Linked DNA regions of Caenorhabditis elegans. The protein of the gene in region 2 purifies or fractionates together with the protein of the main gene of each other region. This does not show direct contact. Each region holds a gene or a part of one and is shown on either strand. Other genes may lie near its edges. The genes, in order: C04F12.8 and mlc-3.

The links.
Region 1: the proteins of mlc-3 (region 2) and C04F12.8 fractionate together in Caenorhabditis elegans (co-fractionation; one large-scale study listed by BioGRID). This does not show direct contact.

The regions. Positions count from the first base shown.
Region 1 is NC_003279.8:9,692,154-9,708,634, forward strand, and holds C04F12.8 (Protein-tyrosine-phosphatase), read right to left. Parts: upstream 7,414-16,481; 5' UTR 7,403-7,413; coding exon 7,246-7,402; intron 7,069-7,245; coding exon 6,974-7,068; intron 6,869-6,973; exon of another isoform or gene 6,848-6,868; intron 6,358-6,847; coding exon 5,999-6,357; intron 5,649-5,998; coding exon 5,441-5,648; 3' UTR 5,084-5,440; downstream 1-5,083. Other genes in the region: C04F12.12 (Retrovirus-related Pol polyprotein from transposon TNT 1-94), read right to left, coding at 2,469-2,882; C04F12.7 (Membrane-associated protein), read right to left, coding at 3,591-3,791, 3,841-4,109, 4,419-4,557; C04F12.16 (Transposase), read left to right, coding at 12,807-12,861, 12,966-13,108.
Region 2 is NC_003281.10:5,554,452-5,570,932, forward strand, and holds mlc-3 (Myosin, essential light chain), read left to right. Parts: upstream 1-10,573; 5' UTR 10,574-10,680; coding exon 10,681-10,699; intron 10,700-10,869; coding exon 10,870-11,081; coding exon of another isoform or gene 11,082-11,123; exon of another isoform or gene 11,124-11,365; intron 11,366-12,222; coding exon 12,223-12,406; intron 12,407-12,460; coding exon 12,461-12,507; 3' UTR 12,508-12,556; downstream 12,557-16,481. Other genes in the region: nmad-1 (DNA N6-methyl adenine demethylase), read right to left, coding at 1-145, 193-277, 349-465; hach-1 (3-hydroxyisobutyryl-CoA hydrolase, mitochondrial), read left to right, coding at 1,003-1,056, 1,133-1,525, 1,578-1,951, 2,150-2,370, 2,421-2,539; rpc-2 (DNA-directed RNA polymerase subunit beta), read left to right, coding at 2,914-3,645, 4,059-4,966, 5,207-5,296, 5,346-5,628, 5,926-6,120, 6,392-6,770, 7,230-7,788, 8,307-8,451 and 1 more; nspb-12 (Nematode Specific Peptide family, group B), read right to left, coding at 13,863-14,109, 14,285-14,298.

The DNA.
Region 1 (16,481 bases), on a different chromosome or scaffold from region 2:
AAATACAATTCCAATTGAAGTGTGAATTCTCAGATTGATCAGAAATTATAAAACCTGTGCTCTTGAAATCGGCGTTGATTACGTTTCCGGTTTTCACTTACTTATTATCATTAAAAAATACGGTAGCCGGTCTCGACACGATAAATTTTTGTTAACATGTGTGCGCCTTTAAAGATTACTGTAATTTAAAACGTCTCTTATTGCGGAATTTTCTTTCATCGACTTTTCATCTCTTTTCTCCGGATTTCAATTTATTTCAGGGAAAAGAAATAGTAGATTTCACTATCAATGGCCATTCAAAGTTCTGTTGCATTCCTGAATATATTTCAATTGACAAACTTTAATAAATGCTTTCAAAAATTGTTCAACATGCTTTTTATTTAAATCTCTCTTGCTGAAATAATAACAGAGCTGAAACACTTGATCTGTATACTGCGTACTATTAGAGGCAACCGGGCGCTTTACTTAAATATATTATTTAATTAAGTGAAGGCAAAACAGATTAGGCGAATAAATGATTTTATTGTGAATTTCAGATCATTTTCGTCTATTTCTTCTTCTTATCTGCACCGAACACATCTCCACCAACAGCTGCCAATGTCTGGTAGTTTGGATCCATGGTTGCTGCCTTTTGACCCTAAAAACAATAAATAACAAAATATTGCACCGAGATTAGAAATATACCTTGTTATTCGGCTGAATTGGCTTCTTATCTCCACCTCCTCCTCCAGCTTTCTTATCAGCTCCGAATACATCTCCTCCAACTGCAGCCAGTGTCTGATAATTAGGATCCATCGTAGCAGCCTTCTTGTTTTTATCATTCGGTTGAATTGGTTTCTTGTCTCCTCCAGCAGCAACAGGAGCCGCAGCAGGGGCACCTACACCATCCTTCTTATCAAAAACATTGTTATTCAATCCTGCCAGTGTTTGATAATTCGGATCGTGAGTAGCTGCTTTTGCATTCTGATCAGCTGGAGCAGCTGGACCTCCACCACCTGCAGCTGGAGCAGCACCATCCTTCTTTCCAAATACGTTGTTATCCAATCCAGCCAATGTTTGATAGTTCGGGTCGTGGGTTGCTGCCATTCCGGGTTTTGCATTCGCTGGTGGAGCTGGTCCTCCTCCTCCGGCAGCTGGTGCTCCATCCTTCTTTTCGAAACAATCATTGCCAATTCCAGCAAGAGTTTATCTTGTTTCTAAATAACTAACCAGCCATTGGAGGTTTTGGTGCTACAGCAGCGGGGGCTCCAGCAGCAGGGGCTGCACCTTCCGCAGGAGCAGTTGGAGCTGCTGAACCAGCAGCTGATGGTGTTCTGGCTTCGGATCCTTCCTTTCCTTCTGGAGTTTTTGCACCATTTCCTTTGCTGCTCGAAGTTGATTCGCCTTCAACCGACTTCCCCTTTTTCTGAAAGTTGTAATATTTGAAAGTAAGGCGACTTGCTTAGTTGAGAAAAACAATCGCGTACACAACCTTTGTAGGTATGTGCCATGTTTGTGCTTCAGTACAATACTAGAACACTAATCAGTTCAAAACTCACTTTTCCTCCACATCCAGGCAATACTTTTGCTGCAAGAGATCCGGCCGTTGCCAAGTTCAAAGCAATTCCAATGATATCTTGAACGTCCATTGATAGCGTCGATAGTCGCAAACTTGCAGTTGACAAGCTCTTTATTGAGTGTTCAAATCAGGAAATGAATATTATCACACTTGAACGACGAATCGAAAAGTGGACAATGTTGGGAATAAATTCTTTTTTGAAGAAAACTGGTAAAAATATTCAAAAAGATCTTTTGAAAAGATAAGGTTTTTTGTGAAACGTGTAATAATAATATTTTTTGTTTAAATGATTCGCGTATTTTCCCTATTAGTATTACAGTCAAGTCTATTTTTCGATTTGTCATTTTGAGAGAAATTCTAATAGGAAGTGCAAGTCATTAAGACTTATTGAGTCCAATTGTCCAATTTCCATTGTCCAATTTAACTTAAATTACTTACATTACCCGTTATTTTGGGAAAAAAATTCTGAGAAATAATTAAGAAAATAACAGAACACACCTATAATAGTACTAAATTCTCAATAAATTCATAGAAACGCCGAAAAGAAATTAAAAATCTGAAACAAATCATTTAATAGATTGTGTAATTAACTTCGGTTATTTAACACTTTCTGTACATTTTTGTCTGGTTTCATCGTTATATTTCTAACTGCTTCGGGTGTATTATGCGAGCGCAAGTAGAGTCTTTGTAGAATGCTCAAAGGCATGAATAGCTGATTATTTATTCAACCATCATATTGAATAATCTTCGAATCTCTTTTGTAAGATATTTACCAATCATCAGAATTATAATCACGACAACATTTAAAAATTCAATAAAGTTAAAAATTCTTATTCAAACTGGAAGACAGATTTCTTTTCAAAACTTTATTTCAAAAATTTCACTTTTCAAAAATTCATTTTATTTCAAATCACATATAGACATAATCAGATGGTTCACTGGTATGATAGTCGTTGGTGTAGATGTTTGGACTCTGTGCAGCATATTGATGATGAGAAGAGACAACGTCATTCGTGTTCCATGCATAGTGGGACGAATCAGTTTTTGGCGGTGCAAAGTATTGCTGATTGTCCATAACTGAGTTATTCATTGCCAGCTGATTTGGATTTTCAAGCTCCACTGGCTTCTCGGTGCAATAGTCCGAAACCACCTGATTGCTTTGCTCAAACGCGAGTTGAGAATCAATGATACGGGCAATTGCATCGCTGTTCAGTGGGACATCGGCAATGAATTGTGCCTCGAACACGTCACTCTCCGTTGCTGGAAGAACGTCGGCGTCGCTCTCCAAACTAGCATCCATGTAGAAGCTCTTGACGTATGCCATCTTGAGTGAGCTGCAAAAATACTTATTCCTTCATGTTACCTATCGAGGGCGACATCGGGGACATCCGAAATCCAAAAAACTGGATGTCCGCCAGTTCTAAATAAAAACTGAACCACTGCGAATGATGCGAATCGAAATGTGTTCCAAGTGTTGGACTAAAACCGAAATAATTTAATTTTCGATTTCGTTTCGTGGAGGGGGATTTTTTGCCAGATTAGTTTTATTGATAAGAAATTGGAATATATCACGTATATATCAGAATTACAATTTTCGATTTTTTTATTTCAACACCATCATAACTCCACCGTTAAAAACCAAAGTTACTTTTCAAACTGAAATTTAATGTAAATTACGAGAAAAATTGTCTGAAAATGTTTTAAGCTACTTTTCTCAATTCGTCGACTACTATTTCACAATTGTACATTAACTTTATCTCAAGCTTTTAAAACTTTAAAAAGTTATGTTTCTAAGTCAATAGATTATCCAGAAAATTAGTTTTTTCAAGAACTAAAGATTCAGTTTTGGGAAAAAGGGCAATTGAAAATGCTGGTGTGCTGGTTGCAACTTTCAAAATAATTTTCAATTTATCGACTGTTATGTGCAGTCAAGGAGGGAGTATCAAGAAAGTTGTTGCTGAGATCCCGTTTATTAAAATGTATATTCTTGCTACTCGGAGGGTTAATGAAATATTTATTAAATCAATTAAAATCACACAAAGATATCAGCTTGTCCCATTTTTCTTCTTGGTGTCTCCAAACAATCTTCTTCTTTCTCCGATTCAATTGACTTTCTACTGATTAATTGTGGCATTGAGTTGTCAAATGAACGACTTGTTGCCATAACTCTCTTATCCGAAATTTTGACGACGACTGTAGTGAGACGAATGAAGACGGCCATACTGGCAAGAGCCTGAACAATTTTCAGATAAAACTAATTAGATTAAATCTAAGAAACTTACAGTAGCAATCATTGAAATCACTGCACACACCAGAGTAACTCCATTAACAGCATGACAGATATCCGAATTAAGTGTTCCAGTTGAGGGAGTTTTCAGATATTGACATGGAGAATCGAATGATTTAATGAAGAGTGCAATTGTATGTGCAAGATGGAAAGCTGAGAATACAAATGCATGCATCATGAAGAGAAGAGTGAAGACACCAAATGCACGACGAGTTGAGCAGAGTCCAATGAGTGACATGAGTGCCAATGCGGTCATCAACATATCTGAAACATTCTATATTTCTAGGGTCGATATGTTCGAGATTAATTCTCGATGTACAGATAAAACCAATGTCATTTGGAAGTTGTTCTCAGGTTTTTTTTGTTGTCAGGTTTTTTTTTGTTGTCAGGTTTTTTTTTTTTTTTTTTTTTTTTTTTTTTTTTCAAAAGAACATGAAACAACTTCAGATTGACATAGTTCAAAGTGATCATTTGACCATGAACTTTTGTATGTTTCAAAGGTCTTCTTTGAAACTACATCAAGTTCAAGCTCAGTGCACTTTTCCTGTATCTGAAACAAAATGCAAAACTAACCTTTAGTATCCAGAGCAGTCTCATCGAGTACCGTTTTTGATCCGGCAACTTTGTATGCAGTTGAGTAGAGACCACTGACTAGGAAGATGACAGTGATGACAGCACAAAGTGGTGCTTCAATTGACGATAAGCATCCCATTTTGTTGAAGGTTAGTAGATTGAAGACGAGAAGTTAGTTAGTATCGAGTACTGATTGATTTGTGAAGAAACTGAGCATTTATTACGACGTGTCAAATAAATAGAGTAGGGCATCGCGTTGAGGTAGGAAAGTTCGTTTTTCATGAAAATTTGACGTGAAATTGTTTAGAATTTTAAATTTAATACAAAATCTTTACGCAATTTCACGGAGAAAAGTTTTCTGAACATTGCACTTCCATGTAAAACTGTGTCGTTTAAAATAATTCAATTAAAATAGGTAGAATTTTCAGCAGCAGATGTGCACTTTCAGAGTTGATCTGAATTTTTTCTCTGACGTTGAAAAAAGTTATGCAAGGCACTTTCTATAAGCTTGTTCGACCTCTGGGCGACCCTCGTCCTGTGCCTAGTTGACACTATGTACCTACAAACAGAAAGTGGGCAGTAGACAGGCCCTTACTCCTGAAGACGTGATTAAAATCCAAAACCAAACAGGTGAAAGAAATTTAATTATTAATTTCAATAATTTATCTGAAATTCAGAACAACAACCAAAAAGATTTTAAAATGTTTATCGGAATGATATACACAGAAAAACTTTGGATTTGTGTGTGACAATAAGCGACAAAGGAAAAATGGGAAAATATGTTGATTGTTGTGTGTTTTTGTGGGGAAAAATCAACCCGTTACCACTTTTTTTCGCGTTTAGAAAAGTTTAAAAAAAGTTAAGAATTTCAAATTAAAAAAATAAAATACAATTTTAATAAAAATTTGAGTGCGGAACTACATCGAAATTAGAAGAAAGCTTTTTGATTTTTGATAGTAGATAAGTATTGAAATTTTGGTCAAAATATGATACAAAACAAGAGACACAGTAGAACATTATTGTTAAAATGCCGAGAAAAAGTTGTGACGTGGCGAAGTTGAGTACATTGAGAATAGACTTTGACGTGGTTTTCTTGTTGGAGCAGGAGAAAAGAGACTGTATGAAGTGGTAAGAGCAAGACTTGAAGCCGGAAGTGATGATGGACTGTATGCTCGACGAAGTGATGATGTGGCAAGGGATGAGGCAGATGATACGGATGGACGGTATGTACTGGAATATTCAAGTTAATTATAGTAAGAACCCTCGCCGCGAGAAACATTTACGGTAGCATTCCTCATATCTCTTTCATTTTTAAACGTACTAGTACTGAGAAAAATACCGAAAAGTTTAGCGAAACTCATGAAAAATCGTTTAAAGAAACGAAGAAATTTGTTACGATATCCCTTTATTGAATTTCCGATTTGCAAACCTTCATTTTTCAATTAGTCAGGTTTTAGTTGTTCACTTTCTTGAAACTCGATCTTTCTAAAACTTCAAAAAAACTTTTAAAAATCGGTAAATCGAAAATTTGGAAATTTTATAAAAATTTAATAGCAGCAAACGTTTGAGAACTGTCTCACCTTGCTGAAAAAGCTCTCTGCTTGCTCGCGGAGCTCTGTGCAGAAGGCAATGAATGCCTACTGATCTCCCTATTAATCTGCATTCTTCTTATATCATCTGCATAAACATCTGGAATTGGCATATCACATTCCGGTGTCTGAACCATTTTAACTGATGCTGTTCCTCTCAATCGTTTCTCATAATCAACCATTTGTTTCCAGAATCCAACATTTGGACGAATAATTGGTCGAGCTGCTTTGACGTAGTGATATGCTTGTCGGAGAGTCATATGTTCGTGTTTTACCAAATAAATCATTACCAATGAAGCTGATCTTGATACTCCAGCCATGCAATGTACAAGTGTTTTTCCGCCTCGTTCCTGAAAAATTGGATTTGAAAAAACTGTACAATTTCAAAACAAACAAGAAATTTTAAAGAACTGACTTTAAAATTTATGTCTTAAATACATTTGAACTGAGATTATAGGCGCCCGGCGGGAGGCCGCCTATAACCTCGCTCCGTTTTTTAGAGTACATGTGGATCCCTGTGTGATTTGAGCCAAGCCTGAAGGCAGGTGTGCAGACATTTGTTGCCTACATAGAAGCCTAGTCTTAAAAAAAGAACAAATTGTCTTCCATAACTTCTAACAAAATATGTAATTCCCTTATATTTTCAGATTTTAAAACTCTCATAACATTTCTGCCATGACCCTTATCCGTTCTAAAGTTCACTCCAGTCAGTAACACTTTCCATTTCTTCTCTTCACTCGTAAAAATGTCCATTCCGCCTACACTCATAAATTCAGTTAAGAACGGCCGTCGAGAGTACAAACAACTGGTTTTTACTTTTTTTTTCTCTTTTGTGTCTTCGTTCCTTCTCTTTAAATCGTAATGTCCACACGATGAACAGAAGTTATGAAACATTTAAATGAAACATAATTTTGAAAACATTTCAAAAACTCTAGGAAGTTGAAGATTTTAAACACTAAAATATACCTTAACATTACGGATTTTGTCAGCAACAACATCAAAATGCTCACTGAGCCTTGCATATGGATGATCTTCAATTCGAATTTTCATTGTGTCAACTCCTGAAATAGGTATAAGTTTATCAAAATTGATTCTAAAAAGGTAGTTTATAGTTTTTCCGGGGCAAGAGTATCGCCGAAATTTTTTTTTTTTTTGATTTTTCCGTATTTTTGTGGAAAATCGAAAAATGGCTGGTGGATTGGGGTGTTTTCTCTTTTTTAAGGAAAATTCGAACGAACCTTGCATATACGTGGATGGCTCTTCAGTGGTTGCATTTACAATCATATTAATTTTTCTTTGTTTAATTTTATCTGGCTTCAAAACTCCGGCACCCGAAAGATACAGATGATCATTAATTTCAGACATTTGTCCGAGAACACCAACATTCCTCGACATATTTCTGAAAAACATTTTAAAGTTAAATATATCTAAAATATAAGAGTTTTAGAAAAAGGAGAGGCAGTTTAAAAGGACAAAAGAATACATTACATGGTAGTTAGACTTCCTTTGAAAAAATGAATTTTTGGGAAAAATTTGCAAAATTGGTACAAAACCGGATTTTTCGACAAACTTCAAAGGTAAATGGCGGTCACAAGGTAAAGAGATATAGAGAGAAAAATTTTTAAAAAAAGTTAGTAACTGTTTCCCCCGGCGGCAAAGAATTTGGGCAATGAAAAAGGAAATTAGTGGAGGAAAAGAGAGATGGCATTTGCAAAAACATTTTGTCTCTTGTTTCGAGAAATGGTTTTTGATGATTTATGTATTAAGATGGGTTAGAAACAGTAACAATATTTTGTAATTCGACATTTTTTTGCGGTTTCTGAGGAATCAAAGATAATCTGTCTTTTTTAGACACACCTGCTTTCTTATTTATATCGCAAAATTTCTTGTGGACGAAACTGGAAGAGAATGTTTTTTGAATATAAAAAACACCGATTTGAGTTCTAACGGAAGAAAAAATAAATAAACTGAGCTCTTGCTGGACTTTTGCGAAATGTTCAAAATGTAACTCATCATTTTCCGAACAAAAACGCATCTGGTTCTCGTGACACAAAATGAGCCCACTCATTTCCTGAATTCTTACCCTGTTATTACATTTGATAAATGCGGTCATTTTTCTCTTGAACTTTTTTCGATCAGTTTGGAATTGGAAAACGGGCATTTCTCCAGTAATGACTCAAAAAATCAAGTTAACTATAAAGAGATGATACATGAGATTTGAAATTTTAATATGTGAAACTATGTTCGTTAATATTATATAATATTCAAGTCGTTTTCATGAAATTTTCACAATATGGAAACATTTAATCTTTAAAAAAACAATCTGAAAGCTTTGAAAATTTCTATTTTAAGAAACGATTTCATTTTTTGACCCAATGAAGTAAATAAAAATTCTAAAAACTTCAAAATTTAAACGCTCAAAACAATTTTGACTATTTCAACAAGTTCACCAAACCTCCAAAATTATCAAAATTTTATGAATCTGTGAAAAATAAGCTGAAAAATTTTTGGAATAAAAATTGTAATCCCCAAAAGAGTTTCTCTAGAAGAATCTAGACTATCTTCAGAGAATGTACCTAAGAAACCTATCCATATCACTTATTCAAGTGGAAAAGAAAGTAAAGATTTGTGTGTCAAACGGTAGTTGGCAACCCAAACATTGATCATCACCTGGTTCTCGACCCTTTGTTTCTCCCTTTCCTTGACTTTTCCTAATATTTGCTCACAAAGAACTAGTGGGAGGAGAAGGTGACTTGTTTGTTGGAAGTGAATGACGTGGCGAAAGGAGGAACAATGCGTTCCTGTGGGAGTGAGAGGGTATCGTTTCAGCCAAAACGATACGATTAAAAAGTAAAAGTTCAGAGGGTGAGAAGAAGAGGAATCAAGAGAGAATGCAGATGACTAGATATAGAAGTTCTCAGTTTTCTCGCTTTAAATCACCTGAAGCTTATGGAACTTCAGAGTTAGCTTTGTGACGGTGTGAGTGAAACCATTTTCAAAGTTGTGAGATGTTTACAGTTATAAAATTGTGCGAAAAACTTTACGTTTTAGTTTCCGAAAATATTACAAAATTTCAGAAATCGGCGAGTGCCAAAATGCTTCCAGAAATCAATCTGCAGAAATTTTTTATTTCAAGTTGGAAATTGATAAATGTTCAGTTTTGGCGAAATTCCCATTTGAATGCCCAATTGCATTGCCTTTCTTAGTAAATTATTTCTAGTTTTATCATTGACTTATGTTTTTCTTATATTTTCTGATCTGTATAAGTGAGGGAATTTAATTATAATTTTCCAAAAATTTAGTTATTTCCATTTTTATATTTACTTTTTTTAAAATTTTCACAGTAGGAAGTGGGTTAAAACTTGCCGAAATTATCACATCAGCCTGCTGCACAGTAACTTAGCAAAAACATATAATTTCAAATTCTGTGTTCGTAAAATTTGAGAAAAATAAACCAAAATCGTCCAAAATAACAAATGACTTCTTTTATAAAAACAATTGATGAAACCATTTCCACAGTAAGCATAAACAAGATGTTTCTAGAAACGTCTTAGAGAAACTTTCAAATCAAAAGTGAAAGTGAAGGTAAGAGTTTGAAAATTGTGGTTGTTTTGGGGAAAATGGTTAAAGAATGAAACTTGTTTCTCAAAACAAACGAGTCTTAACTACTCTTACTGATCTTTGACGATGGCACAAAATTGTGGAGGAAGTATCATCTCCCCGAGTACGCATGTACCCGTAGGACAAAGGTGTAATCTTCTTGCTCAGAATGTGAAATAGTGTTGAGAATAAAGAGATTTAGAGAAAGAAACGAAATTGATACAACTAGAAAAAGCTTGAGGGAGGGTGATAATGGATGAAAAGTAGTGTAGGTTGAGAGAAATGTAGACAAAAAGACATGGGAAGATAAAAATAGAAGAAGATGATATTCAAGATTTCCAAGAATTTTAAACAACCCTCTGCATATGAAAAAGAGGTGATTACCTATTACTTTGGCATGACCATACTTTCTCAATTTGTTTACAGGGGTGTGCGTCATCTTCAAATTTACAAAACTGCTCGTTTCGGTATAATAACCCAATTTTCAAATTAATTATAAACATAGGTTTATTTATACAAAATATATTTTGGTAATTCGAGAATAAAATTTATTTTTATTGAGAATTTCTCGGTAGATCTGAGTTGAAAGTCTTTATTTGTCAATTGCAACCTACAGCCAATTTCGAGCACACTTTCCACACTTTTAAATGGAATTAAATTTCATTTTAAAAATTTGCATTTTTTTTATTTCAATGTGAAATTTTTTGGTGAATTTTTCAAAATAAATTTTGATGCTTGTAGACTTTTTTTCAATGCAGACTTTTTATAATAAACTGTCAAAGATCTTAAATGTATTCATAGGATTAAACAAACATTGGTCAAGGTTTTTGGAAGTTTTTGTTTTTTTGAAAAAATGCTACCAGATTAATTTGTTTTCAAAGCTCAAACATTTTTATGCTCTCTGGTTTCTTCTAACCATTTAATTTTCACAAATACCGAAAGTTAAAAAAAACCGCCTGCGAAGAACTAAAAACAACTAACGACTAAAGAATAAAAAGCAAATCAAAGGAGAATCAGCAATCACAATAATAACAGAAAGAGTTGTCCAAATAGAAAAGAGCAGCAAATATTTTCGTGTTCGACCTTTTTTTTGAGAGACAAACAAATCGAGTGGTTGAGGTGGGAAAATGACAATTTCTGGGCCACTTTTTAGAAGTTTTTAGATTTCAAATGACACTGGATCGTTGATCAGCTCAAAAAAGACGCAGACTTTCAAAGATTGTATCTAGAAATCAGCTGAAATTGGGAGGAGGATGAGAAATAAAGATGTTACACAATAATCGAGGTCTCTCTTGATAACTTTTCCGATTTGTGTAAGTTAGAAGATTGTGTTAGTGATATATCTATCATTTATCACTTTAACATTACACAACTGCCTCCCTTGACAACAGAAAACCGGAAATGATGTAGGTTTTCAGATTAAGATGATATACTTTTTCCAGAGCTGATATTGCTTGCCACCTTTTTTTGGAATTATTTTTATCATGATATCAAATGGTTCTGAGCAATACTCGTTCAAAAGTTATATGCAAAAACAAGTGCAAGATATAGAGGCTCCCATAAACTTGCAACAAAATAAAATAAGAGAATATATATGAGTGATAACAATAGGAAAATGAAAAACAAGTTATATGGGAAAAGAAGGTGAGAAAACACGAACAAGAAGAATGAGAAGAAGTTGTTGATCAGACGCTGAAAAATGTCCTTCCTGCTGTCGGTGAGCAGTCGTCACTACTTATTCACAAAATGAACAAAGAGAGCACAATTCAGACGGGACGAGAAGATGAAAATAGAATGAAGAAAGGCGTCGAAGCGGTAACAAGTGAATGAAGTTTCTTGTCTCTTAATTTTTACTTTTTCACAACTTTTTCTAGTCCAATGATAACTGAATGAACAATTGAAGGGGTTTTAGCTGTCACAAAAAAGAAAATTATTCTAAACCTGCAAATTCAAAATCGAGAGCCATGTATTACATATCCACGTTAAAGCTCTCTAGGCTCAAGAGATTAGGATTTTATTTCCGAATTTGGATTAGATGGAAAGCCGAAAAGGAAATATTGGCAAGATTAGAGGAGAGAAAAATAAAATTTTCTTGATGAGCTGACTCCAAGATAAGAATTGCTCATGGAAGATGGATTACGAAAAATATAAGATGGAACGGAAATCAATTAATGATGCAGAGGATCTTCTTTTGGGCAGATTTAAGAGAGGAGAGGTAAAACTTTCAAGAAATCAGAAATCAAGAGTTTTCAGTTTCCAAGATCAGGTATTGATTGCAGGTGGGGTGTGAGCAACCTAAGTTGGAGCATTGGGGTGCAGCACAAATATTCTGAAGAAAAACAATACATTTAGAAAAAGTGGACCGTATGCTGAAAAATTATTACGCGAAAATTTTTAAAAGAGCACAAAATTGAATTCACAAGAGGCATATGTTGTTCCGATTTTTCATTCTATTCTTTAAATGAGATTTTTTCATTCCGCTGCAAAATGGTGAATCATAAGAATCTCCGCTTACCGTTCACTTGTTATTGACAGAAAGATAACCGTTTTTCAGCCCAAAATTATAAATCATGTGATCCGGTATTCGATGAATTCAAATATCTGGTTTTAAAACTTCAAGTGAAACTGAAACACACTTGGAGAGAGGAAGGTCAGAGCGGTGCAAGGAAATAAATAGAGATGATCTCACATGTTGTCTCGTGAACCCGCCATGACAAGAGTTGGACTAAAAAAGCGAAAAGAAAATACATTTGAGAAGACGAGAATTGAAAATGATTGCGGTAAACAAGAAAACATTGAAAAGGGCAAAAACAGACGGAAAACAGGTTAGAAAAGAGAAAAAGAGAGACAGAATGTCAATGTATTTATCCCTTTCAATGGCATTTTTTTGCCAATCAAAATGTTCAAAACTGATTCACACACTTTTTCAGCCATATTTTTGAAACTAAAAATGAGAATCAATACCCTCTTTTCTAACCTTCCGGTCACGTAAAAAATCACAGTTTGAATTATTTAACTTGATTTAGTTCAGTTAAAAAAATTACAAATAAAAAAAAATTTTTTGACATTTTTTAAACGAACTTGTTAATGAACTTTAATGGGAGGTCATTTAAAAAACTGGTACATCTTGATAAGACCTGCTATATAACATTGCAGTTTTTGTCATAATGTTTATTCTACGAATTTTCGGTTTTCGAATATGCCGCCAACAAGATGTTCAACGAACTACCTGGAGAAGACAACATCGATTAAAGGTAAGTTTTCAATTTCTAATCCGCCTACGAAAAATAACCCTAAAAATCCGTTGATGACAGGGAACCTCGGCATTTGTTTCGGATAAATTTTGTTATTTTTACAGAGTTCCACCTTCGACAGATGATGAATCAAATCGAACCCGGAATCGAACGGACGTACGGCAGATGGACCAAATGGGATGGCTCGATAGCAAATGGCTGGATGGCAGTACTTTCAAAGGCATTTCAATTGGAACTTTGGATGTGAACGATGGATAGGTGCGGACGGAGTAGGAACGACAAATTGGCGAGGAGGAGAATATAACTCTTTTCCATTTCATTTATTTTCTTTTTTCATGGTCATTTTCTGAGCGACTCAATTTTGAGATGCTCAGTAGTTTTGATTGAACAGTCATTTTCTGAGCGACTCAATTTTGAGATGCTTTGTAGTTTTGATTAAACTTTGAGATGCTTGGTCCTCATCTCAACAGAACATCCTCTTCTAAATCCTAATAATGAGAATCTATCCAAAAAATGTTTATCCAGATTGGTAAGTTGAGAGATTAAGCACTCGTCACTAAACCTCACATCTAATCTGTACACATGTACACAGAGATCTTTTCGAAAAAAAAAACTAAAAAAAGAGGAATATTTATCGCCGAGACATCTTCTAATTCGTTTCCTGTCGTCACTCCCCACTCACTCAATTCGTCTGATTTCTCATCCAAAGTGTTTTTGTGCCAGAAATCACGGGAGTCCTACTCTTTCTATTTCCTTCCAGCTAATCTCCGGAAATTGGTACGAGAAAATGAAAAAAAGAAAATGGCAGGGAAACGAGAGATGACGTGGCGATGCTTGGAAACTGATTTAATCGTTTTTAAAACAAAATGGGGATCAAAATTAGAAATGAATAAATGGATAAATTCGTGAGGAGATTTGTCAAAGTTCAGTGGTATAAAAATTTACAATTAAAAAAAAATGTTAGGCGTTTTTTAAAAGGAGAAATAAAAAAAACGGTTTTGAATGCGGTTTTGAATAATATTTAATGATTTGTTCAATTTGGAAAGCAAAAACACGAAAAGAAAAAACATCTCAACATTTTCCAATTTGAAAAAAATAGAAAAAATTAGGGACAGTCCAAAATTTAATTTAAAAATGACAATTTTCTGAGAAACTCGAAAATATGAAAATACGATTTATTTCAAAATAAATCGAGAAACCAAAAAAGTGATATTTAAACCACAAATCTTAAACATATATTTTCTATTTTACATGCAGCGTGGCTTTCTCGAGGGAGTATACCAGTCAATCTCTCATTTCAAGATACAAATCTCAGTAAAGAAACTGGGTGGTTTTTTATGTTTTATCTCCAATTCTCCGGTTTCTAGTAAAACCATATTTATGAAACGGTGAAAACGAACATATATTAGCTGCTAACAATAAAATGAATTGTCTTGACGATACAAGAATGAGAATTTATTCAATAAAAACAAGACAAAGAGGTCATTTGGAAACATAAATTCACAGACATGTTTCGATAGTTGCATTCAAGTTTTGAAATGTCAACTGCAGTGAGTCATGACTCCAATCTTATAAATCTAAAACTCAGCTTGGATTATGTCTCATTTTCTTCTAAAAATTATATGCATCACTTTTTTTTCGTAGTTCCTTTAAAAATTGCCAAAAATGTCTCCAGAAAATGTTGCTAGTCGCGAAATTGAAAAATGAGTTGATCTCCCATCTCCCAAAGGAAAAATCTTAAAGAAGGGGAAAACCAATTGAATTTCCTTGAATTTCGTTTTAAAAAAGTTCAAAATTTTTGAAAGTCACATTGGAACTTCAAGTAACTAAGAAACATTTTCGAAAGAACCAATGCTCAAAAACTAGGAACTTAATTTCCTTAAAAGTGATTGATTCTCAACGTACAATCATCTTTTAGATTGCCTAAAAAAAGTAAAAGAAAAACTGACGTCAAACGTTAATTCCTCTTGTTGTGCATCAATGATTGAAAGATTCATCTTCTCGTTCGTCTCCAATTTCAGGAATAAAAGTATCGAGTGAAAAGAGAGACATTGAATTGAAATTTAAACGGATATATATGTATAATGTAATTTCAGAAAGATACATGTTTATTCTGGGAAGAAATTTTACTTCTTAGAAACATAGTTTTTGTTTTTTCGCGGAGTTCATAGATTTCCAATTTGGAGAATTAGTCAAAATTGAATCATGCCTACTATAGTAGACCAACTTATGAGAAAAAATATGAGAGAATAGTGATGACTGAAAAAAGTTGGACATTTTCAGAGAGGAAACTAAAAACTCAAGTGTTTATTTAACAAGCAGAAGAACTTGAAGAAATAATTTCAGTAATAACAAAAGGAACAAATAGAATATGGAGAACAGGAAGTAGAAATATCAATTTGAGAATCTAATTCTGAAAAATAAAAGTTTATTTCTTGAATAATTCAATTCAATTTACAATATTTCTATCATACTACTGAAACCACAGACATTTATCATATTCAACAACATATTCTCATACATTTATTCAAATTCTCCAGAAATTCTTTTCGTTTATCATGTTTTCCATATGCTATTTATATCTCTCGTCATTCTAGGTATTTCATTTTAAAGTAAAAAAGTATGTTTTTATTGCTGAAAAAAGAATGATTTTGAGAAAAGACAAGAGTAATCCCACGGATTACACTAAAGAGAGAATGACAGCACTTGGTACTGAAAATAATTTAAAATTCCTTAAGAATGTTCTGAAATTTTTATATTTTCTGAATATTTTTTGTAAAAGAAGGGCGGGCGGATATTGGAATTAGTTCTAAAATTTTGAAATTATATTTTTCCTAGACGGCATTCCTGGAAACTACCAATTATCAAAGTATACTTCTGACTGTTTTTATATTTAAAACTATTTTTCTTTCAAATTATTGAATATTTTGTGAGAAAAATTCTTTTTTTTAAGTTTTAGGTGTTTCAAAATGTTCAGTCTAATGTCGCTTGTTTGAACTCTTATACTGTTTAAGTAATAATATTTGACTTGGCGAAAACTGATTGAGAGATCTGTTTGACTGTGAACTAAAATTTAAAAATGTGTTTGAAACAAAATGTCGAACTGACAAACTTCAAAATCCAATTGTTCTGAAATATGAGATTCGCTAAATCAATGAAAGGCTTTGTTGTAACGTGGATCAAATTTTCTTTAAGAAATCTACAGTAATCCTAGGTTTTGAATGTATAGATTTTCATTTTAAATTAGGTGAGTTAACTAAAAATCTATTGATTTCAATTTGTAACATTGCGAACTTTAGAATTTCAAAATGTACGAAAAAAAGAATATTAGCCAAATTCTATTTTAAGAAGAGAAGATTGCAAAATAAACGATAGTAAAGTTCACGAAATTGGGGGGGGGGGGGGGTTCTATACGTCATTGGGGAAGGGGCAAATGGGGAAAAGCTCAAAAATCGGAAAACAAGGTAAAACATTTGGAAAACATGACAGCAAAAACTGAAGAGTAGGAATGGGAAAATAGACCAAACATATAGTGGTGGTTTTGCAGTCTTCCTTTTTTCTTTCTCTTCATTTTCTCTCTCCGTCATCCCCTTTTTTCCATTTTTGCTCCGATTATTGGG
Region 2 (16,481 bases):
CCACTTTGTGACTGTGCCCATTCAACTGTGTCTATCATATTGAGAATTTTAGATTCTTCAGATTCTGACAGAAAATTGTGAATGAGAGTGAGCCCGTCAATTTCGATGGAGCCGTCTGTAGATACGGATTGGCACGAGGTGGATTCTAGAAATTTCATTTTTAGTTGAAAACTCATTATATGTAATAAAAACCATCAATGATATCCTCCAATGAAGACTGAGAGTTCAGATTTGTCGTTGGAATTGCGATTTGACGAATGTGATCGTAAATGAAGACCTGAAATTTGGAATTTTGTATTCGGTTCAATTGTTTTTTTTTAAAGATTATTTAAAATGAAATATGCATACTTTGTAGTTAACATGCTTATCCTCCACCACGCGAAGCTTTTTCACACGTTCCGTTGTCTCACAAAGTGCACAAAATCGAGCTCCCTTGCAGCCACACGCTTGTTCTGCGGAACCCATGTCGAGAAGTGTTGTTTTCTGGAATTTCGTAATATTTCTAAACATTTTCAGAGTGAAAGGATAATAAAAATGAATTGAACATTTATTTTTTAAAATTACCACATGAAAAATGATACAACTTCTTTAATTTTCCAACAAAAAATCTTAAAAATATAAAAAAAAATTGTCTACTGAAAAAATCTCTGCCTGCCAAACTGTGCGCGGGGCACTTGCGCAAAAAGCGCGCGCACATTGCGTTTCACTCATTAAGCACCGCCCATTTAGTTTTTTCTTTCGGCGGAAAACCCTAATTTGATCAATTTTAATTATTTTTACAAGTTATTCATCGATTCTTTAACGGAATTTGCGTGAAAATGAAAGTTAAATTATTGATTGATTAGTCTATTCCTCAAATTTCCCTATTTTCTTGTTTTGTGCTCAAAGTGCAAGCTTCTTTTTGTGATCAGTGATGTTTTCCCTTTATAACCTCGCGGAACAAGACCACTTTTCTCGTTTTCGTAAACTATTCTTCATTTTATTAAGCCAATTTTCAGAGACATGGCTGCCACTGTCCGAAACTTGCCCGCACTCTTCCGCGGACTTCATTCGAAGGTTTCATTTTTCACAAATTTTGACTAACATTTTATTTTTCTATCAAATTTTCTGTTCTAAACTCAGAAATTTCCAGGAAGTCTGCCAGAAGATGTCGTTCTCCGTGAGCGCCGCCGCCAAGTCGGAAATCCTTGTCGACACACACGGATCGAAGAAGGTGGTTACATTGAATAGGCCTAAAGCGCTAAACGCGTTGAACCTCGAAATGGTACGAGAGTTTTATCCCAAACTTCAAGCCTGGAATTCATCTTCCGATGTGGATCTTGTCATTTTGAAAGGATCCGGTGATAAGGCGTTCTGTGCTGGAGGAGATGTTCTTGCCGTTGTGCGATCTTTCAAAGATTCGGAGAGTGGAAAAGAGTGCACAATGCACAAGGATTTCTTCCGCGAGGAGTACATTTTAAATCATTTAATTGGAACTTTGAATAAGCAATACGTTTGTCTGATTGATGGAATTGTGATGGGAGGAGTAAGTTATCTGCAACTATTTTCTTTTCAATTTTTTAAAAAACTTGTTTCAGGGTTGTGGTCTTTCTGTAAATGGACGTTTCCGAGTTGCCACTGAGAAAACAATGCTAGCAATGCCAGAAACCGCACTTGGACTCTTCCCAGACGTCGGTGGATCCTATTTCCTTTCAAGGCTCAAGGGAAACCTCGGAATGTACTTGGCACTCACTGGATATCGTCTTCTAGGTGCTGACGCTTTCCATGCTGGTCTTGCCACTCATTTTGTGGAGTCTTCGGAACTTGCGAAATTGGAAAAGGAACTTGTGAATATTAAGGATGTGACAGAGAACTCTGTCGATGAAGTCATCAGATCGTTCGAGCCAAAGAAGATTCCAGAATTCAGTCTGTCCAAGAATTTGGCTCAAATTAGAGATTCCTTCAAAGCAAAGTAAGATATTTTGTCACCAAGATCACGTGTATTTGAGTTGGAACAAATTAAAAAGTAGCATTTCATCGAATTGATTTATTATTGTTTCTCAGATAATATTAGTTTTAAGCAAAAACTAGGAAAGGGCCAGTTTTGAGGATTCGATAGCACACAAAAAATTACATTTGCCTAAGATATATAAAATAATTGATTTTTCAGAAGCGTCGAAGAAATCCTCGCAAGCCTCGAAAAAGACGGATCCGACTGGGCAAAGAAGCAAGCAGCCACTCTAGGAAAAATGAGCCCAACTTCCCTGAAAGTAACTCACCGACAAATCACCGAAGGAAGCAAGATGAGCTATGCAAAGATCTTCACAATGGAGTATCGTCTCACTCAACGATTCCTCGCCGATAAGGATTTCCATGAAGGGTGCCGAGCCAGTGAGCAGAGATTTTGTAGGGTTTCATTGAAAATTTGACTCATTTTTCAGTTCTCGTTGACAAGGATCGCAAGCCAAAGTGGAATCCAGCGACGTTGGCTGATGTGAAGGATTCTGTCGTCGATAACTATTTCTCGCCATTGCCAAATAATTCTGATTTAAAATTGTAGAGGCCAGAATTAGCGGAAAATTGAATTTTTAATGGAAAGCTAAAAAATCAGGGAAACCCATAATTTTTATCGGATTTCCTCGTTTTCCTATCTTTTCACCCAAAATGTTGATTTTCCCCCATAATTTTTACCATTTTAATAGGAACCCCTTATGTATTTATTTTTAGAAAAATGTCTAGCTATAATTTAATTTTTCCGGGTGTACAAATAATTTCCGTGCCTTTTTCAGCTATTCGCCGTATGAATATAAAGTTTTTTTTTGTTTTTGAATTTTATTTCCAGATTTCTATTGCAAACTGTTATTTTCTGTTTTTGTACCTCTTTTTCAAATAATTTTTATTCTAGAATTTCAGATTTTCAATACCAATTTTCAGATGACAATTGGCCAAGTGAACGGCCGCGCTCGCATAAAATCCGAGTGCGGCAAGGATCAGAAATGCATGCCACTCGAGGACAAATGGCTTCTCGTTCCCGCGTTTTTGAAAGTTCGAGGACTCGTCAAACAGCATCTCGTCAGTTTCGATCATTTCGTGCAGGAGGAGATCCGAAGTATCATGCTCTCCAATCAGAAGATCACTTCCGATGCAAATCCAAACTTTTATCTCAAATATTTGGATATTCGAATCGGAAAACCCAGCAGTGAGGAGGGTCTCAACATGACTCACGATAAGATTACCCCTCAAGAATGTCGACTACGAGATATGACCTACTCGGCGCCAATTTCAGTGGATATTGAGTACACACGTGGTAATCAAAGAGTATTCAAGAAGGATCTGATCATTGGTCGAATGCCGATTATGCTTCGTTCGAGTAAATGTATTCTCAGAGATCTTGCCGAAGAAGAGCTTGCAAGAGTTCAAGAATGCCCATATGATCCAGGAGGTTATTTTGTGGTCAAAGGAAGTGAAAAGGTTATCCTGATTCAAGAACAACTCTCCAAAAATCGTATTATGGTTGGAAGAAATTCAAGTAAAGAACTGCAGTGTGAAGTACTTTCGTCGACGTCCGAGAGGAAAAGTAAGACATATGTGACTATGAAGAAGGGTAAATATTCTGTTCGCCACAATCAGCTCACCGATGATGTACCAGTTTCCATCATTTTCAAGGTAAATTTTGAGAATTTTGATGACAACTGAAAAAAAAAATGTTCGGCATTCATTCCTAAATATTTTATTTAAAAAAAAAAACATCCAATACAAAAACATTCTCCGAAAAATATTTTTCCAAATTTTGATGCAAAAAATATTCTCAAAAAATGTTTTAGAATAAAAAATAATGAAGCTTTCTTTCTTTCTGATTGTGAGAAACTGAACATTTTACGATATTTTCAATCGAAATTCCTCAAAAACATTTATTATCGAATCTGGAGTTTTTCAGATTTTTTTTTCCAAAATTCGAGTTCGCTTTTTTTAATTCAAGAAAATTATTACAAAAAATAGGGAAAATTTTAAAAAAAGTGTAGCATTATGTTAAAACAAAAACTAAAAACCGCTTCCTTTTCAAAGTTTCAATTTTCCAGGCGATGGGAGTCGAATCAGATTTTGACATTGTGAGTACAATCGGTCACGAGGAGAAGTACGTTTCAGCATTTGCTCAAACTCTCGAAGAATCCATAAATGCCGGAGTTTATACCCAACAGCAGGCACTCGCATATGTTACCTCAAAAGTCAAGGCTCGTAAATTCACACCATTCGGATCACTTCCAGGAACTTCAGTGAGCGTCTTGACTCCACCGAAAGAACACGAAGCAGTCGATTTTCTGTCCAATTCAATGATCACACATATTGCTTGCCCAGATGGAAATTTCAAAATGAAGGCGATTTATTTGGGATTAATGACAAGACGACTGATTCAAACGGAACTCGGAGAAAATGGGCTTGATGATCGGGATTTCTACGGAAATAAACGTTTGGAGCTCGCTGGATCATTGCTTTCGTTGCTGTTTGAGGATGTATTCAAAAGATTCAACTCTGAACTGAAAAGAATTGCAGACAATGCGTTGATGAAGACAATGGCTGCACCATTGGATATTGTGAAGCATATGAGACAAGATATGATTACGAATACTATAGTGAATGCTATGTCGACAGGAAATTGGATTATCAAAAGATTCCGAATGGAACGACTTGGTGTTACACAAGTACTAAGTAGATTGTCATATATCTCAGCACTTGGTATGATGACAAGAATCAACTCGACTTTTGAGAAAACTCGAAAAGTCTCTGGTCCTCGATCCCTTCAACCATCTCAATGGGGAATGCTTTGTCCGAGTGATACTCCTGAAGGTGAAGCTTGTGGTCTTGTGAAGAATCTCGCTTTGATTAGTCACATTACAACTGATTCCGATGAGAAACCCGTTCTCAGATTGTTACTCAATTCGGGAGTCGAGGATTTACATAATGTGCATTTCTCGCATGTCAATAAGCCGTGAGTTTTTACAAATTAAAATTTTAAGTGTGAAATCTTGAAAAATAAAAGTTTTGAGAATGCTAGTTTTGAAAAAATCGCATATTTTAATCAATTTTTATAAATTTCTAAAATAAATTATCAATTTCATAAAAATTAGATTTCAAATCGAGTTAAGGTTTGACAATTTTTGAAAATTACTAGATCCATTTTTTTGTGTTTTTTCCTAAAAAAAAGGTTATTTTTATCGAAAATTTTCAGTGAAAACACGTTGATCTTCTTAAACGGAGTGCTCATTGGAACAGCTGTGGATCCAGAAAGAGTGGTGAAAGCCGTCAGAGATTTGAGAAGGTTTCAACAAAAAAATGTTGCCAAAAAATTCATCGAATTTCAATTTCAGAAGTGGACTCCTGTCAGAATTTGTTTCAGTATCCCGTTCTCTAACCAATCGTTCTGTTTTCATTTCATCAGACGGTGGCCGCCTGTGTCGACCATATATTATTGTCAAAAACGGAACTCCAATGCTCACACAGGCTCACGTGCAGGAACTGAAAGAGGGAAAAATGATTTTTGAGGATTTTGTTGATGACGGAATTGTCGAATATTTGGATGTAAATGAGATGAACGATGCGTTGATTGCCGTTTATGGGAGAGAAATTGGCCCAGAAACTACACATTTGGAGGTACGTTTTTGAACTTTGTGAATCTAAAAATGAAAAAAATTAAATCGAAAACTGGTTGTTCTTTCCTGTAAAGAAAATTCAAAAAATTTGGTAAAATTTGTCTGAAACTTAAAACTATGTGAAAAAAGTTTAAATTCTCATTTTTTTAAATATAAAAAATTGAAAATCAAATTATTTAGAGCTCTAAAATTCTATAATTCAAGGAAATTCCAACATTTAAAGATTTTTATCCTTAGTTTAAAATAAAATTTGCACTTTTCAGTGTCTGAGCTATTAATAATCTTTCAAAATTTCCAGATTGAGCCATTTACTCTTCTTGGAGTGTGTGCTGGTCTTATTCCATATCCACATCATAATCAATCTCCACGTAATACTTATCAATGTGCTATGGGTAAACAAGCAATGGGAACAATTGCCTATAATCAACAGAAAAGAATTGATTCAATTATGTATCTTTTATGTTATCCACAGAGACCACTCGTTAAGTCAAAGGTTCGTTAAAATTGAAATATTTTAAAATTTATGAAAAAAATTTGATTAAAAAATGCATGTTTCATTTATTGAACTAATGTTTGTGGAGAGATATCGTTAATAATCCTGAAAATAAAAATAAATCAATTTCCTGAATTCCGAAAAATAAAAAAATCAAATCGGAAGTATCCGCTATATCTTTCTAATCAATTATTCTATTCAGAAATTTTTAATTTGTTTTTCTTTTAGAAAATTATCAATTGTTCAAACTTTTTACATCACAATTTTCCAGACAATCGAACTGACAAACTTTGAAAAACTGCCGGCCGGCGCGAATGGAATCATCGCAGTGATGTCATACAGTGGTTACGATATCGAAGATGCTCTTGTGCTCAATAAAGCTTCACTGGATCGTGGTTATGGTCGTTGTCTGGTCTACAAACATGTGAAGGGAACCGCCAAAAAATATCCGAATCAGACATTCGATCGTCTTCTAGGACCAGCATTGGATCCGAACACGAGAAAACCAATTTTCAAGCACAAAAATCTCGATCAAGAGGGTATTGTATTCGCCGGAGCACGTATTATGCCGAAACAGACGATTATCAATAAGCACATGCCAGTTGTCAGTGGAGAAAGTGGTCCTGGAGCGTCGGCTTCTGCCAATACAAGTATGTTGAAATGAGCATGACGAATTTGTATAAGGAAAATAAAAACGGAATGTACAGTTTCGAGAAGACATCTATTTTTTTAAAAGTTTTACGAAAAAAAACACGAAAAATATAAAAAAAAAAGAATAATAAACAATTCCCAGACCAACCTCGTAAAAATGAAAGCGAGTTTTCAACAGAAACCCTGTTTTAAAACTTTTTCCAAAAAATCTGAAGTATTTATAGCATTTTTTAATTTTTACCAATTAAACAAATGTTTTAAAAAAAAACTCAAAGAAACTGTCTCCGTTCTTTTTTGCGAATATAAATTTTCTAACTTTTTTACGTTCACAATTAAATAAAACTTGACATTTATTCCGTTCAAATATTCAATTAATTTAATTTAAAACGAAAATTTAAATATAAAACTCTGAAAAAGTAAAAAAAAAAACGTTCACTAACAATTCTTTAAATTTTCAGTCGGAATCGCTGGACGCCAAGTTGACTACAAAGACGTCTCGATCACGTATAAAACTCCAACTCCATCATATGCGGAACGAGTTCTTCTTACCTATAATGAAGATGAAGCTCATTTATTCAAAGTTCTTCTTCGACAAACCCGTCGGCCAGAACTTGGAGATAAATTCTCATCTCGACACGGACAAAAAGGAGTATGCGGATTGATTGCTCAACAGGAAGATATGCCATTTAATGATCTTGGAATGGTGCCAGATATGATTATGAATCCTCATGGATATCCATCTCGAATGACTGTCGGAAAATTAATGGAATTGTTATCTGGAAAAGCTGGAGTAGTGAATGGAACATATCATTATGGAACAGCATTTGGTGGAGATCAGGTTAAAGATGTCTGTGAAGAATTGGCTGCTTGTGGTTATAATTATATGGGAAAAGATATGCTGACAAGTGGAATTACTGGACAACCATTATCTGCTTATATCTACTTTGGACCAATCTATTATCAGAAGCTCAAGCATATGGTTTTGGATAAGATGCACGCCCGTGCCAGAGGACCGAGGTGTGGAGAGATTTTGAATTTAGATAATGTCTTGTCTGGAAATTCTGAATTTTGGAAAGAATTTTCAATTAAATATTTAAAAATTAAGTTTAGCAACAAAATCTGAAAAAGAAAAATTTTTAGAACAGTTAACTCTGCATTTTCCAACTTTCCTTTAAAACTTTTGATGTAAAACAATGAGGAATTGCAACATTTTTTTAATTAGAAAATTTGGTATCAATCAAAATTCACTTATTTTTATCATGGTTAAAATTTCGAAAAAAGCCAAATTGAAAAAGTTCTGAAAAAGGAATTGACAAAATGCTCGAAGCTTAGGAAATTAGGGGAAAAAAGAATCAATTTTTCATAGTGGAAATACATTTTTTTCAAATCCAATTCGCGGAAATGTTATGCATATTTTGGAACAAAAAAAACCATTTTAATTTTTCTCACATTTTTTAAATTAAAAAAAAAACTTTTTTTAAAAATTTTTTTCAATTTATTCTCAGAGTTTCTTTTAAAAATCTATAAATTTTCAGAGCCGCATTGACTCGCCAGCCAACAGAAGGAAGATCACGAGAAGGAGGTCTACGTCTTGGAGAAATGGAACGTGATTGTCTCATTGCCTATGGAGCATCGATGCTGCTTATTGAGCGTTTGATGGTGTCATCAGATGAGTTTAAGGTAAATTCCCTTACCGAGTTTTTTTTAAAAGTTTGCTACTTTTGTGTGTGTGCGCGCAATTTTTGCTCATCATTACACTAGCCGTAACACTCTCAAGTGGTTCTTTTTTGCGAAAATGAGGAGCGAAACTGTTGCGGGAGAGACTGGGAGAAGCCTTGCGTGGGTTGACTTTGCGGGTCGACTTTTCTTGGAAACTGGGTTGACGTTTTTTGGAAAGGTTCTTGAAAATTTTTGATTTACCGCAGAGAAAATTATGGATTTTGTTTGATCATGAGAGAATACATTTCCCGACTTTTATCTGAAAATATCGAAAAAAAAGGTCGGAAACCGATTATTAATTTTTTTTTGAACTCCCACTTTTTTATAAGAACAGAGAAATCGATTTTAAAAAAAGCATTTTCCCTAAAAACTTTTTAAAAAAAGCAAAACTTTCTATTTTAATGGCTCTGAATCTCTGTTGCTCGGAAGTTAAAAAAAATCAAATTTTCGGTGCTATTCGAGCAAGATCCATTCCCAAATAAAAAAAATCTCTCACAATTCAGCGATATTTCGGAGTTTTTGAGAACATTTTTTACTAAAACCGCCTTTTCTTAGTACAGTCGTACCGAAAATAATATTTTCTGCACCTGTCCCAGGTGGCAAACAAGAATCAGAGATCTAAAGACTTGGAAGTGAACCTCACATTAAGATCCCTCCAGGAAACCTTCGGAGCTCTCGTCTTGATTCGCTTCTTCCTTCCTACTTTTCGTTTTTTTTTGCCCACAAAATAGTCATCGAAGAAGAAGAAGAAAAGATGAGATTTTTGCCCCGATGCGAGATGCCTGGTGAATAGTGTGATCTTCGTGGAGAGATGTCTCGCTGATCTCTCCTTGATTGCCATTTCACTATATCTTCCACCCCGAAGTCTGTGGACTCCACTGATCTCCGCATCTCTCGTCATTGAGTAAAAGCATTGGCAGAAGAGAGAACAGAAGAAGGAGGAATAAGAAGGAAGAGATATCTCCACAGTGGGTGCCTGTGCTTTTTCTTCCCGTCGGCTGTGCTCCTAGGAGTGGAATGCCGAGAAAATGTGCGATTGAAGTGGCACGCGGGGAGGATAGAGAAAGAAAATAAAGATATTGAAAGGGAGAATAGAGAAACATACGTTTACAACGAATTAATCGAGTTCGGCAGCCAACACGGGAAAAATGAACTTGTGAAGATGTGTTAAAACACAAAGATCTTATTAATTATTGAAGAGGGAGGAAATAAAATAAATTAACATTTCGAGCATTGGGGTACTGTAGACCTATTCCGTAAACAGAGAAACAAAATGGTTTAGCAGAATTCGCGGACTGAGGCGAGAGGCAGGCGGAGGTTGCCTTAAGGTCAGGCAGGCAAGCGTTTTAATGCAAAAGTAATGGATACTTGTTGAGCCTTATAATAATGTGTCGATATTAAAAAACACAAGTATGGATTTTTAACATAAAAAAGTTAAAAGACGCATGCTTAAATATTTTATAGGATAATTTGGTACTCCTTAAAACTCAGTTTGTATAAAAAAACGATTCGATGAGAGTATAATAGATTTCCAATGTAACTTAATAAATTTCTTGTTTTCCAGGTCGACGTGTGCACTGGATGCGGAGTAATCGGCTCGAAGGGTTGGTGCCAAAAGTGTCGTTCGAGCAAGTCAATGGCGAACATTAAGATTCCGTATGCGTGTAAGCTGCTCTTCCAGGAACTTCAATCCATGAACATTGTCCCGAGGCTGGACTTGGCCAGATACACCGAATAACCTTGTTTTGTAATTGTTGTTGTTGTTGTTATGCTTCTTCTTTCCCCTTCCCAAATCATTTTTTAATCTATTTTTTACTTGTTCCCCGAAATTTGAACATTTTTTGTTGTTTTTTTTGTCATACATTCATTCTTAAACTTATCATGAAAATTTTCTAGAAAATACTTGTTGAAACAGTACGCCGCGCTTTCTCGCTCTCACATCCCACATCTCGCCACTCTATCTCTTGAGCATTACATCCCTCTCTCTATCTCTCGGGCTCCCGAGGGGTGAAATAGTGTACTCGCGCGGGAGTGCGGGAGCTCAATATCCGCCCCAATCCGCCCCCATCCTCTACGAAGAGTCACACACAGTTTACACTTGGGTTGCCACTGCTCTGTCGCCTTCACTCAGTTTCCACACTCAGTCCCCCCTGCTCTGCCGCCGCTGCAACACTCACACATCATCACATAATGGCTCCACCATCCCAAGGTGAGTAATTTTTTAAGCAATGTCCCCAGCTCTTAGGGATACCTTATAAGGTTTTAGGACTTCTAAAACATTTTATTTTTAGTTTTTTTTTAATGTTTCAAAAATATATCCAATTCCCCAAATATATCCCTACAATCCCAAACATTTTTTCAAACTTGAAATCGTTCTAGACGTGCTCAAGGAGATCTTCAACCTCTACGATGAGGAGCTTGACGGCAAGATCGACGGAACCCAAGTCGGAGATGTCGCCCGCGCCGCCGGACTTAAGCCAACTCAGGCTATGGTGACAAAGGCCGCCGGACAGGAGTTCAAGCGTAAGGGAGAGAAGAGACTTACATTCGAGGAGTGGCTCCCGATGTACGAGCAACTCGCCAAGGAGAAGGTACGGTATTTTAAACATCTTGCCTGTGCCTTTAACCTTTAGCTGAGAGTTTTTTGAGATTTAGGGATCTAGGGGCCTCGCGCCAAACCTTTAACTCCCGCACCGAGTGATAATCAAACAAAGAAGATGAAGCTTGAGATTTGTTTTATTTCAAGGTCTAAGTAAATATTGGATCTCAGAGGTTAACCCCATACAGTACCCCTAGCCGAAAACTTTTAAATCACAACTAAGGGTCTGAAAAATCTGAACATCCTCTTCCACCGGCACATGCCAGCCGATCCCTAGAACTTTAGAGAGATAGGCGGCGGCGGCTCCCGTGAAGCATGTGTGGGAGAGGAGCACATAGGACTCTCGAGAATCTCTCTTGGCACACACAAACACACACATAGGCACAGTGTAACAATAGAGAGCATCATCATTCTGCGTCTACTGGGTCCTTGTTGTAGATATTTGTATGGATAGGAAGTAGTAAGGAATAGGCAAGGGATCTTGAGTAAGGATCCCCATATACGGGTAAAAGAATGGAGTGAGTATATATGAAGCTTCTAGGAGCTATTGAGTTTTGGAAAGAGCTGCCAGCTCAGACTATTTAGTGGAGGTTTAAGGTAAAAAATCCTGTAGATCTTTGATTGAATTCAACTAGGGCATTCTCTGGACCCACAACCGTCAGTATTTTGAAAGCTTTAAGGCAACCAGTTTCTTAGAAAAGATTCAAAACAGCACATGGAGATCTTGAAGAGCCAATAGAAACCTACGAACTGAGCTCAGAAGACTGGACAACTCATAAAGTTTGAAATAGCAAGTTTGGCCAGATATTTTGGGAAACACATTTCGCTTTCGTTATTAAATAGTCTGCGAAGTTTACCTGAGCACATATCTACTCAAATTTGACAATCTGAAAGTCAGTGTCTAACGAATTTTGGATAGAATCCTAAGCGAAAATCAGAGAGTTCTCTGGAGCTTCGGGATGGAATTAGCTGATGTTCGAGGTTACTGTCACCTGAATAGGGAATGATTTATGTTTACTGGAGTTAGATGCCTACCTTAGGGTCCGCATGTAGAGCAGATCATCATTCATTTAACATTGAGATTATAAACTGAGAAAATTGTTCTTTCCAATATAAATTTCCAATTTCTTCAGGAGCAAGGAACCTACGCTGACTTCTACGAGGGACTCAAGGTGTTCGACAAGGAGGAGACTGGAAAGATCTTGGCCGCTGAGCTCAGACACATCCTCTTGGCTCTCGGTGAGAGACTTTCCGCCGATGAGGCCGATGAGCTCCTCAAGGGAGTCGAAGACGGAGAAGGCATGGTCAAGTACGAGGGTAAGCCGATTTTTTTTCTTCTCGGAAATTTTTTTTAATTGAAATTTATTTCAGATTTCATCAAGAAGGTTTTGGCCGGACCATTCCCAGACCAGGACTAAATTTTTGGATCTGAATCTGTGCTACACCCATTATAATGTTTAAATTTTGAAAAAAAAAACACCATCTTCTCTTACCCAAATTTTTTGCTCCCCTTTCCCTTCTCTGCCTTCTTTCTCCCCGTTCCAAATAACGATGTTTTACTTTTTTGTCTATAAACCCATCGTCTAGTCGCTCGTTTTCTTCTACGCTATACACGTAAGAGATTCCACTCGCGTGCGCGCATTCCGTTTTCTGATCCAGAAAACGTTTTGCACTTTAAAAATCAGCGCGCGGTTTTCTCTTCTTTTTCTCCAACACATTCAAGCCTGTTTCTATGATCAAGAAATTTTCTTTCTTTCTTCATTTTACACTTTTTTATTCAGAAATTCATTCGTTTCTTATATTCGTTCTCCTTTTTGGATTATAATAAAAAACCTTTTGAATAATTATGAAATGGAAATTTTGGTATAGTACATGTAGTAAGTTGAAAGGCTGCTAGAAATATCAGCTTTTGAGTCGATGACCTGATAAAAACAAACTGCCAGTTTGATTTTTATCAATTGATTTATTTTCCGTCTACTGTGCAAGAACGGTAGCTTCCAAAAAATAAGAAATTGCCAAATTATTTAAACAATTTTTCGTATATATTGTTAGCTGACAACTATTTTTTATTGTATCACCACCTAAATATAGTTTTTCAAAAAATATCACTCAATCCTAAAAATTGGTGAAAAGAAACAATTTCACCTTAAAAGCTTTCAAATTGAAGTTAGAGTAGCGAAACTGTCCACTTAAATATACTAAAGACCCAAAATATTGATTTTTGTAATGAAATGAAACTCTTGGAATTCTGTCCAAAATTTTTTATGACGGTTAAAAATTTTAAGAAGAAGGGCTAAAAATAGCTTAAATATCAAATTTTGCCAACTTTTTCGTATAGAAGCTGCCAGAGTTTCAAAAATATTATCATCAAAGAGTAAAATTATTTATTTTTGAATGTTCTGCTTGTTTACTGAATAGTTGCTAAGAAGTTAATGCCATTAGTGTAGAAAACTAGTAAAGCCTACTCAAACTTGAAAATCATCATTTACTCTTCCCCCTACAAAAAATTTCAAAATCAAAGTTTCAAACTAGTTGATCAAGAAAATTAAAGAAAATATAATACTTTTAGAAGCTGAAAACAGTTTTGCAAAAAATTGCATTTCTAGTTCAAAAACTGAGAGCTATTGAATTTTTGTTAGGTATTCCAAAAATGAAACAAACACCATTAATTTGCAATGATACAATTTTATTAATTTTTTTGAAAAAAGCAGTTTCAGATCGATTGATTTGCAAGATTTACATAAAAACGTTCGTAATTTCGATTTCCGACAATTCAAGCGGTGGTTGGCTTCTGATTGTTAAGAAGAGCAGATGGACGAGCAAATGCACGTGGAGCAGCATCATCCTTATTCTTGTTTGATCCCCAAGCCCAGACTGATGGATAGGCTGCAGCGGCTACGTATGGAGAATAAACTGATGGGTAGGCGTAGGCAGATGGAACATAGGCGGCCGAGTAGGATGGGACAACGTATTGTTGATGGGATCCGACGATCATGGCGCAGAGAAGGACGGCGACGAAGCTGGAATTTGAATTTTAGGCCTGATTTTAGTTGAAGCCTATTTCTAGGTATTCTGCTTAAGGTTTACATCAATCTTACGTCTAAACCTAAAATAAGCTTCTTGAGCATTAACCTAAGTCTAAGACTCAGCCTATGCCTTAGCCTTTCTAAGCCTAACTTAAAAAAGATGACTTACCACTTGGCGAACATATTGAATTGAAGTGACTTGAAATGTCAGTATTGAACTTTCCGATATTCTACGTTTTATACTCTACCAAACCTTTACAAAAACTTGTACATAACCAGTTATTTTCATTATTTCTTTATGGAAATCTTCTTGCACAAAGAGCTTCTATATTTACTCAAGTAGTTGACACATGCGGGAAGTCTTTGGCGGGAGAAACTTCTAAAAAAAGTACGCAAACGTTTTGTTACTAATATATACAAATAATGTAATAAACTAGTTATTGGATGATTTATGGTGTCATAAAGTAGAAAAGGGCCAATTTTTGGGTGTACCACTGGAAGATCTTTGAAAACCAAAGTAAAAAATTTTTAAAAAAGTTCGATCTCCCAGAAACAGTTTACACAATAATTTTTGAAAATTCATAGTGAACGAGTATTGAATTAAAAAAAAACTACTTCATTCGAATTTTTCTTCAAAGTTATTAATCCAAAAACTAAAAAACTAGAATGTTGGTCTGGAACCTGAAAATATTTCAAAAATGTGTTTTTTTTTCAAATATCGCGACCAATAATGTTCCAATCTTCAGAATCCTTTAAAAATTTTTTAATAAAATTTTAATTTAAAATTGTTTAATTTTGCTCCCAATTTTTCAAGATAAAAGTTAGGACTCTGTACGTCAATTAAAATAATTTGCTCTAAAACGTTACAGAAATTTCAGAAATTGCATCTCCTCAAAAATTATTTTTTTTGGCATAATCAAAGTTTTGAGAAAAAATGCAACGCTTTCTTTCACAAATCCCCTTCGTTTATTTTCATCTTTTCCAATTGCCCAAAAACAAGAAAAAACGAGATTCCCGTGGATTCTAAGAAGGAACATGATTTTATAAACAAATGAATGGATGTTGGCTGCCTTGAGCATTTATAGCATTCAATGCTTAATGTGGGAACTATTTAAGTACTTCCACAGTTGTGAGACCAAAACAAAAGATTTAATGTTATTTATGGAAATGATTGTGTTCAGTTGGGTAATTTTACCCTCTCAATCAGAAATAATTATAGTTATTTTTGATTAAAATAAATTCCCATTTTCTGCGATTCCAATTAAAAATATAAAACACTTATTTTATTATAAAACACTTGTTTTAGAAATTAGAAGACGTTGAAATAAAAAAAAATAATACTCCGGTAATATTTTTGCCGTACCAAAGTGATATTCATAAAAATTACAATAACCGATCTAAAAAAAATTTCCAAAGAATTATTCGATTCATTCACAGAACTTTTATTTGTCAATATCAATTCAGAACCCTTCCATCTCACGTCTTGACTTACCAAGTCAACCCATATTATTATTGGTTGCCGCCAAAGTGTGCTTGCAACTTTTAGAGTCAGGTGACCAGATCATGGTCATTGACTTGCTCCGTGAGCTTAATGTTACAAAAAGCTCAAAAAACTTGACAGGAAGGTTTCACAGAACGGGTAGGTTCATATTTTGACAGAGCGGCAAAATTTACAAAATTTCTTTATTTATTGAAATGTTTAAGAACGCTAGCAAATTTTCAGAGAACATAAAATCAAAGATTTATATTTTTAAAACCGTTCGGTTGTTGTCTTTCACTTAAAAGTTAAGTGTTGTGTATTGAGCGACTGTTGTGTATTGAGCGAGTGACAAGGAGAGAAGAAGTTTATTACAAGAGAGTGTAAGAAGTAATGAATTATAAAGAGAGGTCGCTTACGCGATAAGTTCATGATGACCCAAAGGTCACGTCTGTATAAAGTTCAGGTTTACGTTCCGTCCACAACATTAAGATTTAAGCATAAAATATTTTTGGCACCAGACACGTTCAAAAATTTCCGATCGCAAAAATTTCAAAAGTGGAAGTGTGGAAACTTTTCGACAATCTGCAATACTTAAAACAACTATACTGAAGAAACAATTTTCTTTGGTAAATTTCCGAGCATTGCCGAGCTGCAAGGTTTAGACAATACGCCAGCAACTTGCGATTTCAATATTTTTTGGCAACCTAAAATTTCCGCAACCGTAGAAATCGATAAAGTTAACAAGATCCTGTGAACGTTTTGAAATTTCATTTTTTTTCCGCAAACCTCACAAATTCTAATTTCAGAAAAGTGAACTTGCAACTTTGCCCTTTTTAACTATCATCTACTCTCGTGTCAATCTTCCCCATTTTCATCGTTTTTCCCA